Linked DNA regions of Danio rerio. The protein of the gene in region 2 interacts with the protein of the main gene of each other region in a biochemical or structural test. Links are inferred from orthologs where the notes say so. Each region holds a gene or a part of one and is shown on either strand. Other genes may lie near its edges.

What was found.
Region 1: the proteins of yap1 (region 2) and ttyh3a interact in a test that uses a peptide from one of them, tested with the Homo sapiens proteins (2 studies listed by BioGRID and IntAct, with this or other methods). The link is inferred for Danio rerio from reciprocal best matches to the Homo sapiens genes YAP1 and TTYH3.
Region 3: the proteins of yap1 (region 2) and shank1 interact in a test that uses a peptide from one of them, tested with the Homo sapiens proteins (2 studies listed by IntAct, with this or other methods). The link is inferred for Danio rerio from reciprocal best matches to the Homo sapiens genes YAP1 and SHANK1.

What each region holds. Positions count from the first base shown.
Region 1 is NC_133178.1:41,050,249-41,055,232, forward strand, and holds part of ttyh3a (protein tweety homolog 3), read right to left. Parts: intron 4,316-4,984; coding exon 4,204-4,315; intron 4,061-4,203; coding exon 3,840-4,060; intron 1-3,839. UniProt on the Homo sapiens protein: Calcium-independent, swelling-dependent volume-regulated anion channel (VRAC-swell) which plays a pivotal role in the process of regulatory volume decrease (RVD) in the brain through the efflux of anions like chloride and organic osmolytes like glutamate.
Region 2 is NC_133193.1:40,209,725-40,214,398, forward strand, and holds part of yap1 (transcriptional coactivator YAP1), read right to left. Parts: intron 2,131-4,674; coding exon 2,018-2,130; intron 292-2,017; coding exon 53-291; 3' UTR 1-52. UniProt on the Homo sapiens protein: Transcriptional regulator with dual roles as a coactivator and corepressor. Critical downstream regulatory target in the Hippo signaling pathway, crucial for organ size control and tumor suppression by restricting proliferation and promoting apoptosis.
Region 3 is NC_133178.1:29,536,840-29,541,823, forward strand, and holds part of shank1 (SH3 and multiple ankyrin repeat domains protein 1), read right to left. Parts: intron 3,885-4,984; coding exon 3,818-3,884; intron 3,486-3,817; coding exon 3,316-3,485; intron 2,550-3,315; coding exon 2,425-2,549; intron 662-2,424; coding exon 513-661; intron 1-512. UniProt on the Homo sapiens protein: Seems to be an adapter protein in the postsynaptic density (PSD) of excitatory synapses that interconnects receptors of the postsynaptic membrane including NMDA-type and metabotropic glutamate receptors via complexes with GKAP/PSD-95 and Homer, respectively, and the actin-based cytoskeleton.

The sequences.
Region 1 (4,984 bases), on a different chromosome or scaffold from region 2:
TAAATGAATTATAAAATGTTGATTATTAAATATACTATTAATTATTGTTTTTTATTATCACTATTACTGTGTCATTTGTTTTCATATGTTCTGTTTAATGTAAACATCACAAATGTTTTGACAATATATACAGTTGAAGTCAGAATTATTAGCCCCCCTTATTATATAAATAAATATATAATAAAAAATAAATATTTCCCAAATGATGTTTAACAGAGCATGGAAATTTTCAAATAATGCCTGATAATATTTTTTCTTCTGGAAAAAGTCTTATTTGTTTTATTTTAGCTAAAATAAAAGCACTTTTTAATTTTTTAAAAAACCATTTTAAGGTCAGTATTATTAGTCCCTTCTAATTCTTTTTTTCGACTGTCTACAGAACAAACCATCTTTATACAATGACTTGCCTAATTACCCTAGGCTTCCTAGTTAACCTGATTAGCCTAGTTAAGCCTTTAAATGTCACTTTAAGCTGTATAGAAGTGTCTTGAAAAATATCTAGTCAAATATTATTTACTGTCATCATGGTAAAGATGAAATAAATCAGTTATTAGAAATTAAAACTATTATGTTTAGAAATGTGTTGAAGAAATATTCTCTCTGTTAAACAGATAATAATAAAAAAAAACATTAAAACATTAATAGGGGCTAATAATTGTGACTTTAACTAGACGTGACATTTGAGAGAGAGAAAGATTATTCTGATTATTTTGTTTTTATTTATTTATTATTATTATAATTATTTTATTTATTTATTAATTATTTTTAAATGATTTTTGTTATTACATTATTTACCTACTACTACTACTACTATTTACTAAGGTTTTTTGACAATACCAGGCAAAAACTTGTGAGTCAGTTTTTAATGTTTAAAAAAAATTGCGACAATTATTAAAATGTAAAAAATTGTTAAATTATTCAATATTTTTATAACATTATAAATAACTGCTTTATTATTGTATGTAGTTTCAAATTAAATTATACATCCAGTCATTACTGCTTTTATTACCATTACCATTAACAATAACAACAATTTTTATTTCAATTATATATATATATATATATATATATATATATATATATATATATATATATATATATATATATATATATATATATATATATATAATTTTTTTTTTTTTTTTTAGAGTGATTTTTAAAGCATCATGACTCATGACTGGAGTAATGAAGCTAAAAATCTTTAAATTCACTGGAATAAAAAATAGAGAGAGAAAGAAAGAGAACTACACGGAAATACTACTGTAAAATGTCTTAACCATTTTATTTTATCGGATATTTTTACTTTTTTTTTCTTTCATAATATTTTTCTTTTTTGCCGTTTTCTTTTCTGTATATACAGTTAAAATCAGAATTATTAAACCCACCTTGAATTGTTTCTATTTTTTTTTATATTTCCCAAATTATGTTTAACAGAGCAAGGAAATTTTCACAGAATTTCTGATAATATATATGTTTTAATATATATATATATATATATATATATATATATATATATATATATATATATATATATATATATATATATATATATATATATTTTTTTTTTTTTTTTTTTCCAAGAGAAAGTCTTATTTGTTTTTTTTCTTTTTTAAAAACCATTTTAACGTCAAAATTATTAGCCTCTTTAAGATATATATTTTCGATAGTCTACAGAACAAAAGTTGTTGACATTTCAGTTGGCTTCTTTTGTAGCTCAGCAACAATATAAAGAAACAATAAGTTACAATAAATTTGAAAAGTCATATCTGTCAAAGGCATTCGCCCTAACCACCTCCCCATTATTCTCCCTCTCTTTTCAGATTGGACTGTGGGCCAAATCAAAGGTTAAAATCGGCCAACTGAGCCTTACTTTGGGCATCTATTATATAGAGGATGAAGAATTCATTTGCATAATGAAATAACTCAACTTTTTTACATTTTAATAAATTATGTTTCATTATTGTTGAAAAGTTTATCAAAATCACAATTTATGAAAATAAAATGCACACATAATCTTTAAAGGAACATAACTGTCAGCTGTTGACCGACAGGTGACACAAAATTGCATATTACAATGATTTCTAATGGATTGTGTAACCAAAGCGGAGTTTAGTGATTTATGAAGCTTAGCCATTAAAGGAGCTGTTGCTGGGTAAACATTGCAACTTTTGTATAAGCAGACACAACTTTCATTTATAGAATCAAAACCAAAAGTGTTTAGTTTATTGCGTTATCTTGTTTTGGATATCTATAATGAAATAAGTTCTCTTTTTTAAGGACTACCGAGACCCCAGGGCAGTTTCTTTCACAAGGAAATGGAAATAACTGAAGAGAAGCTGTGGGTGAACAGAATACTAATTTCTACTCTCTCTAAGAGTGCACTGGGCTCAACTTGTGATACAGAGAAAGCCTTTGAGCACTGTTTTTTTTCCTTCTCCAGAGTTTTATTTTTATTTCCTTTGGATAGTTGGGATCAATTACACCAACACTTTATCATGTGCTTCAAAAACATTTCTAGGACTGTCATGGTACCAAATTTTCAGTTACCAATGCCAAGGAATTTGCAAATATTTCATTCATTCATTCATTTTCCTTCGACTTGGCCATTTATTTTTTCAGGGGTCACCACGGCAGAATGAACCATATACTATTCCAGCCGCAACCCAGTACTGGGAAACACCCATACACTCTCAAATTCACACACACTCATACACTACGGCCAATTTAGCTTACCCAATTCACCTATACCGCATATCGCTGGACTGTGGTGGAAACCACAAGACCTGAAGGAAACCAACGCTAACACAGGGAGAACATGCAAACTCCACACAGTAATGCCAACTGGCTCAAATTATTTTTTGTTACCTATAAAAAAGGCTGTGTCTATTATAAAAAATGTTTATAGATCAGATCCTCTCATTTAAGCCCTTGGTTTACCTGCGCGGCTGTTGATCAAGTTTAGTTCAGTCACAGCAGGCTGTCAAGTACTGTTTGTGTTTGGTTTACTGAATCACGCATGTGCAGAATTATCGGTTAACCGCTTCTAAATGTGATCTCAGTGTAACATATCTGTTCTAATAACTGAATAACAGTATATATATTGGTTTATTTCGAGTCAGACGGGGGTATTAGGACTGTTAAAAAGTTAGTAGTTAGTGATTAAGAGTGCTTACTGAAGACGCAAATCATTTCAAATGATTCAGTTCGATTTGGTGAACTAGTTCAACCGGTTCACTTAGAAGATCCAGTTAAAAAGATATGTTCGCGATCACACTCACTAATACAGAAATAAAAGCCATTATTGGGCACAAATGTGTTAAAATAATAACTTTCAGTCTCTGTAATTAATGCTGTTGCCATGCTACTGTCATGTCCACTCGTTGTTTTTGTCACGGGAGCAACAGCGAGGATAACTGACTCGATCTGGCCAATGGCAGCTGGATGACAGACTATGAGGTGCCGTATGGGTCAAACACCTGGCACTGCGAAGTAAACAGATTTACTTCTAAAAGGCTTACAGTAAGATTATGCATTAAATATATTTACAAAGATGAAACGAAGGTCGTTTTTGCTTTAATTGTAGTTAGTTTCAGTTAGTTTTGCACAGCATGCACACAAAACAGTTTCAGTTAGTTATAGTTTTTTGTAAGAACTCGCTTTTATTTCTATTTCAGCTAATGAAAATTAATTCAAACTTTCATTTTTTTCGTTTGTTTTCGTTAACTATAATTATCTTGGCACCTACTGGTCCATATATATATCAGCTGATAACGTTCATTCAATCGATTGATAACATTTGAAGCAGGTGTTTCACCAATACCTCGCTTCTCGTGACGTACCTGTACCAGTCATACAGCTCAATCTGGGTTGCCAGATCCTCCAGGGAGACGCCGAGGTTGCTCCAAAAGGGGATGTCGGCCATCTGACGAACCAGCTCGCTCCGCTGATCCTGCAGTTTCTGAATGATGGACAAATAGTCTGTGTGTTTTGCATACTGCTCCTTTAGTATCCGCAGGTTTTCATCCACAGTTTGGCTCTGAGCTGAAGTACTTTCTGACACCTACAGAAAACACATTTGATTTGTAAGCGCGTTTCTCGAGCGGCAGATCACACAGTGATGCATTGGTATATAAGCATGTGTCAGTGAGATTGTAAACCTAAGTGTTTTGGAGGGATGTGAATAAAACTATATCAGTGCCTCACCAGTCTGTGAACTCCTGACACGGTGCGGTTGGCATGCCGGAGAGAGTAGGTAAGCCGACTGACGCCGTCACAGGTCTCGCCATTCCCATAGAAACCAACAGCAATGCCAGCACTGAAAGAGACAAAGAGAGAGTGCTGTGAGGAGGAGCAGGACTGGGGCATGAAGGCCTTCAGGAGAACTCAGAGAACACTGAGGAATAGCTCAGTAATGTCTTAAACCATGAAGGCAGAAGGCAGATGACACACACACATGACTGTTACTTATATGCATTCAGGATAATGTTTTACAGTAAGTCACTTCCCACTCTGTTTTACTACCATTGACCTGAACATCAAAAGAAAAAAGAAGTGACCAACTTTGGTTCCTGCTGACTTGTATTGTACTTCATCTTGTCACAAGATGTTAAGTGAAGTTTTCATTACATCAACTTTTGGGTCCTTCAGGTTTGTCATTCAGTTATACAAGTTTTAAAAGCACAGTGCTTCCCACAGCTTTGAAATATACTTGTGGAGGTAGATAGATTGAAACACCTTTTACCCACAGCACACAAGTAGTTACCTTTTTTTTTAAACACTAATTTTATTATTATCTGTTTTGAACTTGTTTTCTTTTCAATGGGTTAAAGTAAAACAAAAAAAGACTGTTGAAATAAATTTTAAAAATCTATTATTTCTCTTTTACACTATTCAGGAGCCCACTGACAGGTCAAATCTGATTCTCTTTATCTCTCATTCAAGGTCAGACTGCATTATTGGCATGACATTTAGTACAATATTGCCA
Region 2 (4,674 bases):
TTGGGCAGCAGTTCGGTATGAAAGAGAAGGTGTAGTGCTGGGTTCGGGCTCTCTATAGCCAGGTTAGAAAGTTCTCCTTGTCGATCTTGGTAGCTGCCAGCACTGACTCCATGTCGTTGAGGATGTCGGAGCTTAGGGCTTCCTGCAGGCTGGGCATCAGCTCCTCGCCCTCCACCGCCATGCTCTCGCCCTCAAGGGTGCCTAGGTCCACGTCCGTGCCCGGGATGGCGTCTAGGTAATCGGGGAATCGGCTGGGCTGTGTTGCCATTGAGCCGGGGCCGAGGGTGTCACCTGAGAAAGGAGAGAGGGGTCAGAAATGAACGTTTCCTTTAGGGCTGCACTATACAGAGTTTGGGAAATGCCTGTGAGCCAAGACTGTGATTGTCCAAAGTGCAATGCCGCAATAAGTATTATTGTATATTTATACAAAACTCAATTAAACACGATTAAAATGATTGAATACACTTGATTCTTGCTCTTGACAGTAATAAGGATTCTTATTAGATTATTGCTGTTTTTATTATTATAACTCAAAGCCTCTCCTATTTTGAGTCACCACCGCCTGAATCAAACAAACAGCTTCAATTATTATCACAAAAATCAGTCAAAGTAATTTTTTCATTGCATTAACATCTGTTTCATGCATTATTATTATGTATTTTATGACTGTTTTAAAAAAATGACATATTTTGTCTGTAACAAAAAGTCATGACAATGATCTGTAAAGCACTGATAGAAAAAAAAAATCTGGTTTAGGATACACCAATTGTATATTTAATATATGTAAATTCTGTTATTGTGAAATTTCAGCGAATTTCAGATTTTTAAAAACAATAATATGATGGAAATGCATGAAATCCTGTTTTTGGCATGCCCTGTAATATCTATTTTTTTAAGGTTAGCATCTTGAGCTAAAGCACAGAATGGCTTTTATGGTTTAAAACGTTTAACTGCAATTAACAAGCAAATGTTGCCTATTACATTCAAGAATTATGCATTATTTTACATTATTATCAGATTCACTTCACTGCAAATATATCATTCCTGTTTAAGGAAAATGCTTGAAATGTCCCCACAACTCTGGAATGAGTCACATATAATAATAGCTGCGTCCCAAATGGCACACTATACACTCATGCACTATGTACTTATGCACTTACACACTCACCAGGATAGTATATGTATGTAGTGTCGTCTCAAATGGAGCACTAATGTTTTTTTACTAAGCAGAAATTCAAACCGTTTCCCTGATGACGTTTGACGGTTGCCAAATCAGTGAAATAAACGACCGAATTATCAAATAATACCTGCCGTGAGTATAACCGCATTCACCATCGGGAGGCGCTATAATCACTCTCGTAGGAGAATTTTGCTTTCACAATCCATAATATATAAAGTTATTCAACATGTGCGCCCGATAGCTCCGCCCCTTCCGCTACTTGAGCAAACCTGCAGTCTTTGAGCGTGTGAAGTGTCCATCATTACACACTTCGTTTTAGCGGCTGAATGAGTGCACCATCCGGGTAATTAAAGTGCATGTATTATTTTTAGAGTTTTCAGTGTGAACACACTACTTACACTATTTATACTACAAAATGACGTAGAATAGTGCATAAGTATGCAAGTTGGGACGCAGCTAATGTTTTTGTGTTTAAAAAAACAACACTTCCTATTCTTTCTGCACAGACAAAACAAATGTTGGCCCATTTAATGAGTTTCGTACAAATCTATAGTTATAAATGCTAACTCTGTGAAACAAATCTCATTGATCATATCTGCACTTTTTATTATTCATGATGAGAGAATTACCCAGCATGCATTCAGCAATATTTAAAGTAAATCTGATGAAACAAGCAACCCTAAACATAATGCAATGAATTGACAATTTCAACTGTGACATCACAATACATTTGGTTTAACAGCGTAGCATTTAGCATTTAATTTTAGGCCCAATTGATTTTCTATCAGAGGATATAAATTGTTATGCATTTTCATTATAAGTAGTCCAGTACTGTACCTGTCTCCATCTCATCCACACTGTTGAGGAAGTCGTCTGGAGTGCGAGGGACGCTGTAACTGCTCATGCTCAGGCCACTGTCTGTGCTCTCGTCTCTAGAGTGATATGTCCCGCTGCACAGAACAACACCATTAATAACTTTAAGTGTTTAAATATCAGTTATGTGTACGGATCAAAGATGAGGCATCAAACTTAAAGAACAGTTCACCCAAAGTTAAAAGTTATGTGATCAATTTCTCACCCTCATATCACTCTAATCCCTTGAGGCATTTGTTCATATTATTCGGTAAACAAATGATAAAACTTCTGATCAAACCAGAGAGCTCCCTCATCCTCCACAGACAGGTATAGCTCGATTAACATTTTTTCCCTCTATATCTTCTCATCAGGGCGCCAGGTTGTATGTTTACTACCAGCTATACATTGTAAAGCAGCAAAACACATAATCGTTGTACTGCCGGAAGTAAGCGCGGCCTGACATGGAAAACAGACAAAAACTTGTTTTTACAGTTTTTTGGCAAATAAAAGTGTACTCAGAGCTTTATATGGTTATTTTTGAACCACTGAAGTCATATGAATATTTTTTGCAATGATTTTGTTTGCTTTTCTGGACTGCTGTTTAAGGAGGATGTGAGATTTCATCTAAAATGTCTTCACATTTGGGTTCCAAAGAAAAATGAAGGTCTTTGGAACTACATGAGGGTGAGTAATTATTAACAGAATGTTCATGGTGAACTAAATCAGGACATTACCTTCTAAAACATTAAATATACAGCAAGTAATGCTCTGAGGTTTCATATAACTACTGTGAAAAAAAATGTCAAAACAGTATGATAAAAATTTGCTTTCTATATTTTTACAGATTTTTTTTTTTAATAGCACTTTTATTTTGTAAAAGTATATTGTACACTTCCAGTGTTGCCAGAATGGGCATGTGTCTGTAAAAAAATGGCATAGCCGGGTTGACAAAATGTGGGCGGTTTTAAAGCGTAAATTTTATATGCAACTTATTTAACAAAACATAACTGCGTGCTCCTACTCCATTCAGTTTCTAGTGACCAATGCATAGTGCAAACCCCTTGGGCTCACCCGCAACAGGAGGTGAAGGAAAGTTGTATCAAAATCTGACACCCAGGACAAATCTGACTCCCCTTCGCAGTTAAACTCACAGCAGTTCATCATTACACTTATCTATCTTTTTTTTCCACAATTGACAGCAAGAACAAACATAGAAGTACTGTCTAATTAACAAGCAGCACCTAATTCTATTCAAAAGAATTTAAAACACCAAATGGGACGATTTTTTACCCCATTTTGAAAGTGAAACTCTAGGTAGTGTAATCTACATAGCAATAAGTGCAGCGTGTGTTTTGATGTGATCCGGTTATGTTGTGGTTCTTTGACTGCTGGTTGGTAAAAAAAATTATGACAGTTACAGTAACTCGGTTTATTAATTAATAATATAATTTATTTCATGTAAATAAATTTAAATAAAATAAAGCAATTCCATGCAATGTCAACCTTGCCATGAAAAAAATAGCAAAACCCCCTTTTTTGTGTGTGTGTAGGCTTGTATTTTAAAGTACTGCACAAATGCTCAAAAAGTATTTGTCAGTGTTTTCAAACTATTATATCTGATTTACTAAAGTCACACAAGTGGCAATTTCACATCTGTCACTTCCATAACGAAAAAGTGTCCCATCCATAACCAAGATTTTCTCTTATAAATGCAAAAACATCAAATCAAATCAATCATGTTTATTCTATAGTGAGTCAACTCTTACCCTTTTAGTTGGCATTAATTTTTTTGGGGTTGTGCAGTTTAATTCACTGAATTTCTACAAAGCATGTTGTGCACTGTAAACTTGCAGACCTTTTTGGTCACATCCATAACGCATGTTTATTTTCCTCATTTAAAATATAAAATATGTTTACGGATTGATATTGTTCTGATCCTGTAACTCTGTGCTTTAGTTGCTTTAAAAAAATATAAACAGATGTTTCAATATACTGTTATACTTTCTCTGTGAATTTATGTTTCGAGTTTTTACTGCAAATGTCACATCAATAACGCTGGAATTGCTTAATATTCTAGTATTTAAGGCAAGATTTGGGTGTGGGGGCAGGTTTTGGACATCTTTTGAGCTGGAAAGTCAGCTATATCTGGCAACACCGATCAAATCAAAATCAAGGATCAGAAATGTTAAATATACTGCAGATCAACACACACTTGATTAAATCCAAACCCAAACAAGCCAAGACTATAATTATATACTACAATTGAATCTCCGATGGCTGAGGGAAAAGGTTACCAAAAAGAACATGGCATCTTTTGTATAAAGGTGGATTTATCCCAATAATGTTAGACCTTTTTCTTGGCTGCTGCATAGAAAGCGTTATACCGACCAGCGTCTTCCGGTCGAATGTTTAGAACTTCCGGTTACAGCGTTTACAACTGGTAATTTGCACTCCAAAAATGGATATCAATAGCGTTTGAGTGGATTACGTGTGTGTTTTTGTGAAAGGTGTGTATTAAAGCCGTTATAATCTGTCATTCGTGGTTCAAGCACGAGAGAAAAACGTTCTCCTAGTTCACATCTCTGCTGTGAGAAATACAGTGGCTGTGTGTTTCCCCGGCCTGTCAGCTGTTAGCTCAG
Region 3 (4,984 bases), on a different chromosome or scaffold from region 2:
CAATAAGGTATTTGTAGAAAAAAATGGTTTGTTCATTCAATAGTATTCTTGTGTCACACTGAGCATGTCTGCAAAAAATGTATATGTCTTTAAAAAATCAAAACACAAGTGATCTCATCAGTATGCTATGCATGCTAATAAATCAAAAGATCAGATCAGTTAATACCTGTTGTAAACAGGACCCTTTACCCATTAAAAATAATCACTGCATGACGCTCCTGATACACAAACACACACACACACACACACATTGAATCACAAAACACATGCAAAGACATGATGGCTGTAGAGTTGTATGCACATGCATGCACGCTGACATTGCTCACAAACAGACATATACTGACATACCAACACATATCACCAGAATACATACACAGACAACGTTTATCCACACCTGTGGAAAACATACAGAAACAAACACACATTTAATGGGACCAATTTACAGACACGCACAGCGCACATCATTGCTCCTGCTTACAAAGAGAGACAAACTCACACACACACACATTCACCTTTGACTTTGTCTCCCTTGTTGAAGCTGATTTCGCGGTCACCCTGGGCCGAGTGTGAGCGAGTGGCAACAAAAACTCGGCCAGGAACGGCGCTGTAGAGACGCCGCCGCTGCCCGCTGGCTGTGCCCTGACTACTGATGGATCCCGCTCTACACAATGGCACAGGTATCAGACAACAGGGTTATCATTCATTTATTATTGGCTTTATTCATTCAAGTGTCTGTCTTCATCGGATGTGAGTGACTATACTGGAAGTTAAATAGCTTTTTGGTGTAATAAATTCTAAGAAATTTCCCGTCATCATTTTAAAATTTTAATATTAAATGTCAAGAATTGCCAAGTAAAATTTTTAATATTTACACATTTACTTGATGTAATAAATGAAAGAGTTAATTTACTAGTAATATTAAAATGTTTTCTAATCATTACAGATAAGCCTGGTAGAATTAAGTACATTTTAATCGAAAAAGCATTGACTTGGTTAGCATAAGCAGGAATCCCTACAAAAATGCCACAATTCAATTAGAAAACAATTCATTAGAATGACTGCACAGAGGCACTTTATCATTAGTTTTTGGGGAAAAGAATATGACTTTTTTTGCTTTATTTAATATTGAAAAGTTGCTGTGTAATGTTTTCATCTCTGATACATTTAAAACTCGATTATTTTTTTAAACTAGTAATGATAACATAATTATACACTGAAAAAAATTATTCAAAGATGATTCCTTGGATTTACTAAGTTTTTTTTACGTTAAAAAATTTTACGTTATTAAATATAATATGTTTGTTGAAATTCAACACAAATAGGTTGTTTGCAACAGTTTTGCAGACATCACTTTTTTCAGTGCAGGAAGCAGCATAAAAAGTGAAAATATTACAGAAAAAATATAAAATAACTGGTAACTAATGTGTTTATTTAATTTGATTGAAGCAAAGTTCCTCTTGCTAAAAACAATTTAAATTTGATTTATTCGAATAAATCTAGATTAAAAATGAAAGATAATCAGTAATCAATATTTATGAGTGTTCGGGTAACATTAAGTAACATTAACAGTTTATTTGATAATGACAAGTTAATTGGACTTGATTTAAGATTAGTCAAACTCACTTGAAAAAATATTATCAGGATGTTATCAAGTATTTCTTAGTCTGTGTTTTTCAATGTATTAATGATGATTTAGGCATAGAATCCACAAACACTGTCAGATGCCAAAAGGACAATAAAAAAAAATGGTACCAAGATATGTTCACAGTGCAAGTCTTTCCAAAGTTTGGAAGGTCAGTCAATGATTCATCTATTATAAATTTTAAATCTTGTTAAAGCAAAAAATAAACAAATATTGTAAATAAAGCATTAAGGATTTAAATGCTTTTTGATTAAATGTATTAAAATATTGGTGTCATGCAGCAAGTTGCAGAGAATGCAGTGAACACCATGAAATTAGGATTTGACTAAACAGTAGTCATAAATAGCTATCGAGTTTTCTCAATTTAAAGGGATAGTTCACCAAAAAAGGAAAATTTACTTACCATTTACCCATCCTCTAGAGTAATCTTAAAATTGTTTGTGCTTCTTTATTCTGCTGGACACAAAAGACGATATTCTGCAGAATGTTAGAAACTGGTAGCCATTGACATCCGAATTAGAAAAATACAAACCATAGTTCAAACTCTATGGTAGTCAGTGGTTACATGTTTTTAAAATTATTCAAAATATCTTCTTTTGTGTTCAGCTGAAAAAAGAAACGCAAACCGGTTTTGAACAGGTCAAGGGTGAGTAAATGATGACACAATTTTCCGTTTTGGTTGAACTATCCCTTTAAATGAGTAGGCTTGGATCTGAAAAATAGTATTGCTTGTGCAAGAGCTTAACAACTAGATAATGTCCTTTCTTCTTGCTCTTCCTCACCCTTGTCTTCCACGTGTTTGCCGGCTCCGATCGTCCCGGTCACCTGTTCGGCCACGAGATGGGGAACGTGTTCGGGCTCCACGGGGACTGCTGGAGCTACGTAAGGTGCCGCCATGCTTTAGACCCTGAGATATACATGTTATTATGATAAGCGGTAGTGTAATTATGATCTCAGATCAACCTCAGGGTAAGTACTTAGTGCAAATCAACAGTATCTATGCATACAGTGTGACAACAATGAAATAAGGTTTTGCTGGTTATCTTGACTAGATAGCCCTTTAAAGGGTCATTTTTTCAGAATTTCTTTCTTCTGTTGAACCCAAAATAAGATATTATAAAGAATGTTGGAAAAATGCAGCCATTGATTTATATAACCCTTACAAAGAATAGAACAAAACATAGCTGTCAATTACTTCAGCCTACAATAATAATAATTTAATAATAAAAAATAGGTCATTCAGCAGTAAAACAAACGAAGAACTTTTAAGCAAATGTTTCTGTAGGAAAGAAATTAAATGCTATTACTAAAGAAAAAGATAAAAGTTTCATTGAGATGGATTGTTGGTGATTGTATAAGTGTTAATGGCCAGACAGAGTAGCTGTACATGAACAATGGAAAATTAAGACCTGTTAAAAATTATTTAAGACCTTCAACACAATATTTCAGTAGATTTAAGTTGTTTTTAAGGCCTCAAATTTTGATATTTAAGACATTTTAAGACTTTTTTAACACCCTGAGGATATCCTGAATATATTGTGCAGCCCTATATTGTACACTACCACTCAAGTTTTGCTAATGGATAGCTTTTTATGAATACAAAAACAACAGCATTTGGAATATTTATAAAACACAATAACAACAACTAAATCATTCATCGACTGATCAATTACCTGTACAGAGACGATGCTTGATCCTGCAGCATTGGGAAAGGCAATCCAGTCTGGCACATTCATGCTGTTATCACTGTTGGCCCGTAAAAAGGGGTGCGGATGAGGCAGTCCAAGTGTCCGTGAGCTCTCCCTCCTTTGCGGGGCATATTTAGGAGACTCCAAAAAGGGGACTGACAAAAAAGTAAGTGAGTGAGTAAAGATGGAGGGAGAGACATACAGTAAGTACACTCCAGCTGCCCAATGGCTTTCAATATTCATTCCATGTGTACAATCACACATGTATCATCTGTATTAAAACATCATTAAGCATCACGACTTCAGCAAATATCCCCTTCTGAGTGTGTAAGGAGCAGTGAACACTGCTTGGGGATTGTGTGAATCGCAACGCAGCTAAACAGAGACAAAAGTATCAAGTTCCAAATGTCACACAGCGTGAAGAGCAAACAAATGATCTCACACAGAATTAAAAATACCACCACAAACAAAAATCTGAGCTCCTTACCTACATCTGATTCACGGTGGTTTTTAATTATTTCTCCAAGCTCAAAATGGCCAGACATCACAGCCACCTAGAAAAGAAGTTCACACGCGCTTAATATTTGCATCTGTGAATGACGCACAATGACGCAAGGCTTGGGAATAACATAATATTAAACACACGCACACACACACACACACATGCATCCACTTTTCTTCATATTAAACACAAGCGCAGCTGGCTCTGTGGAGATGGTTGAGGTTGAAGTAAAACTCTTTTGGCTCACTACAGTTTAGCTCCACCTGGGACTCGCAACGCATACAGAAACACTTCACAGTAACAGATAACAAACATACAGCACAGCTAGTGAATCGCGTAATTTCTGTGCCCCTGGCGTCACCAGATGAAGTAAAAGAATGAAAATTGTTCACAAGTGCAACAATACACTGGTAATTTAATAACATTTTTTTACATTAAACTCACACATGCACTAAATAAGCCAGAAAAATTATAATACTTACATTAGTTATAATAATCATAAGGTTAATTTTATTATTATTATTATTATTATTATTATTATATTATAATTTTACAATTATAATAATTATTATTATTGATATTCATAAATACTTATCATTAAGTTAATTCTATTATTATTTATATATGTTATTTATGCGTTATGTGTGGAGTGTGGTTTGCTATACATAAAACAATAATAATAATTATTATTATTATTAATAAAAAAAAATTAGTTTATTTTATTATTATGCATGTGTTATTTATGTGTGGAGTGTGGATTGCTATTATTATTATTATTATTATTATTATTGTTATTATTAATAATATTCATATATACTTATCATTAAGTTAATGTTATTATTATTCATATGTGTTATTTATGTGTTGTGTGTGGAGTGTGGCTAGCTGTTTATACAATTATTATTATTGTTACTGATAATAATAATAATAATAAATAATAATTATCACTGAGTTAATTTTCTTATTATGTACATGTGTTATTTAAATGTTATGTGCTGAGTGTGGTTCGCTATATGTAAAATTATTATTATTATTATCAGACAGTGTGGAACTCCATTAAATTTTACTTTACTGTAAAAGAGCAGCTCAGACATTTGACCTAATACCTCCTTTAGTGTGTCATGGAATAAAAGGAAAATTTTGAAACAACTT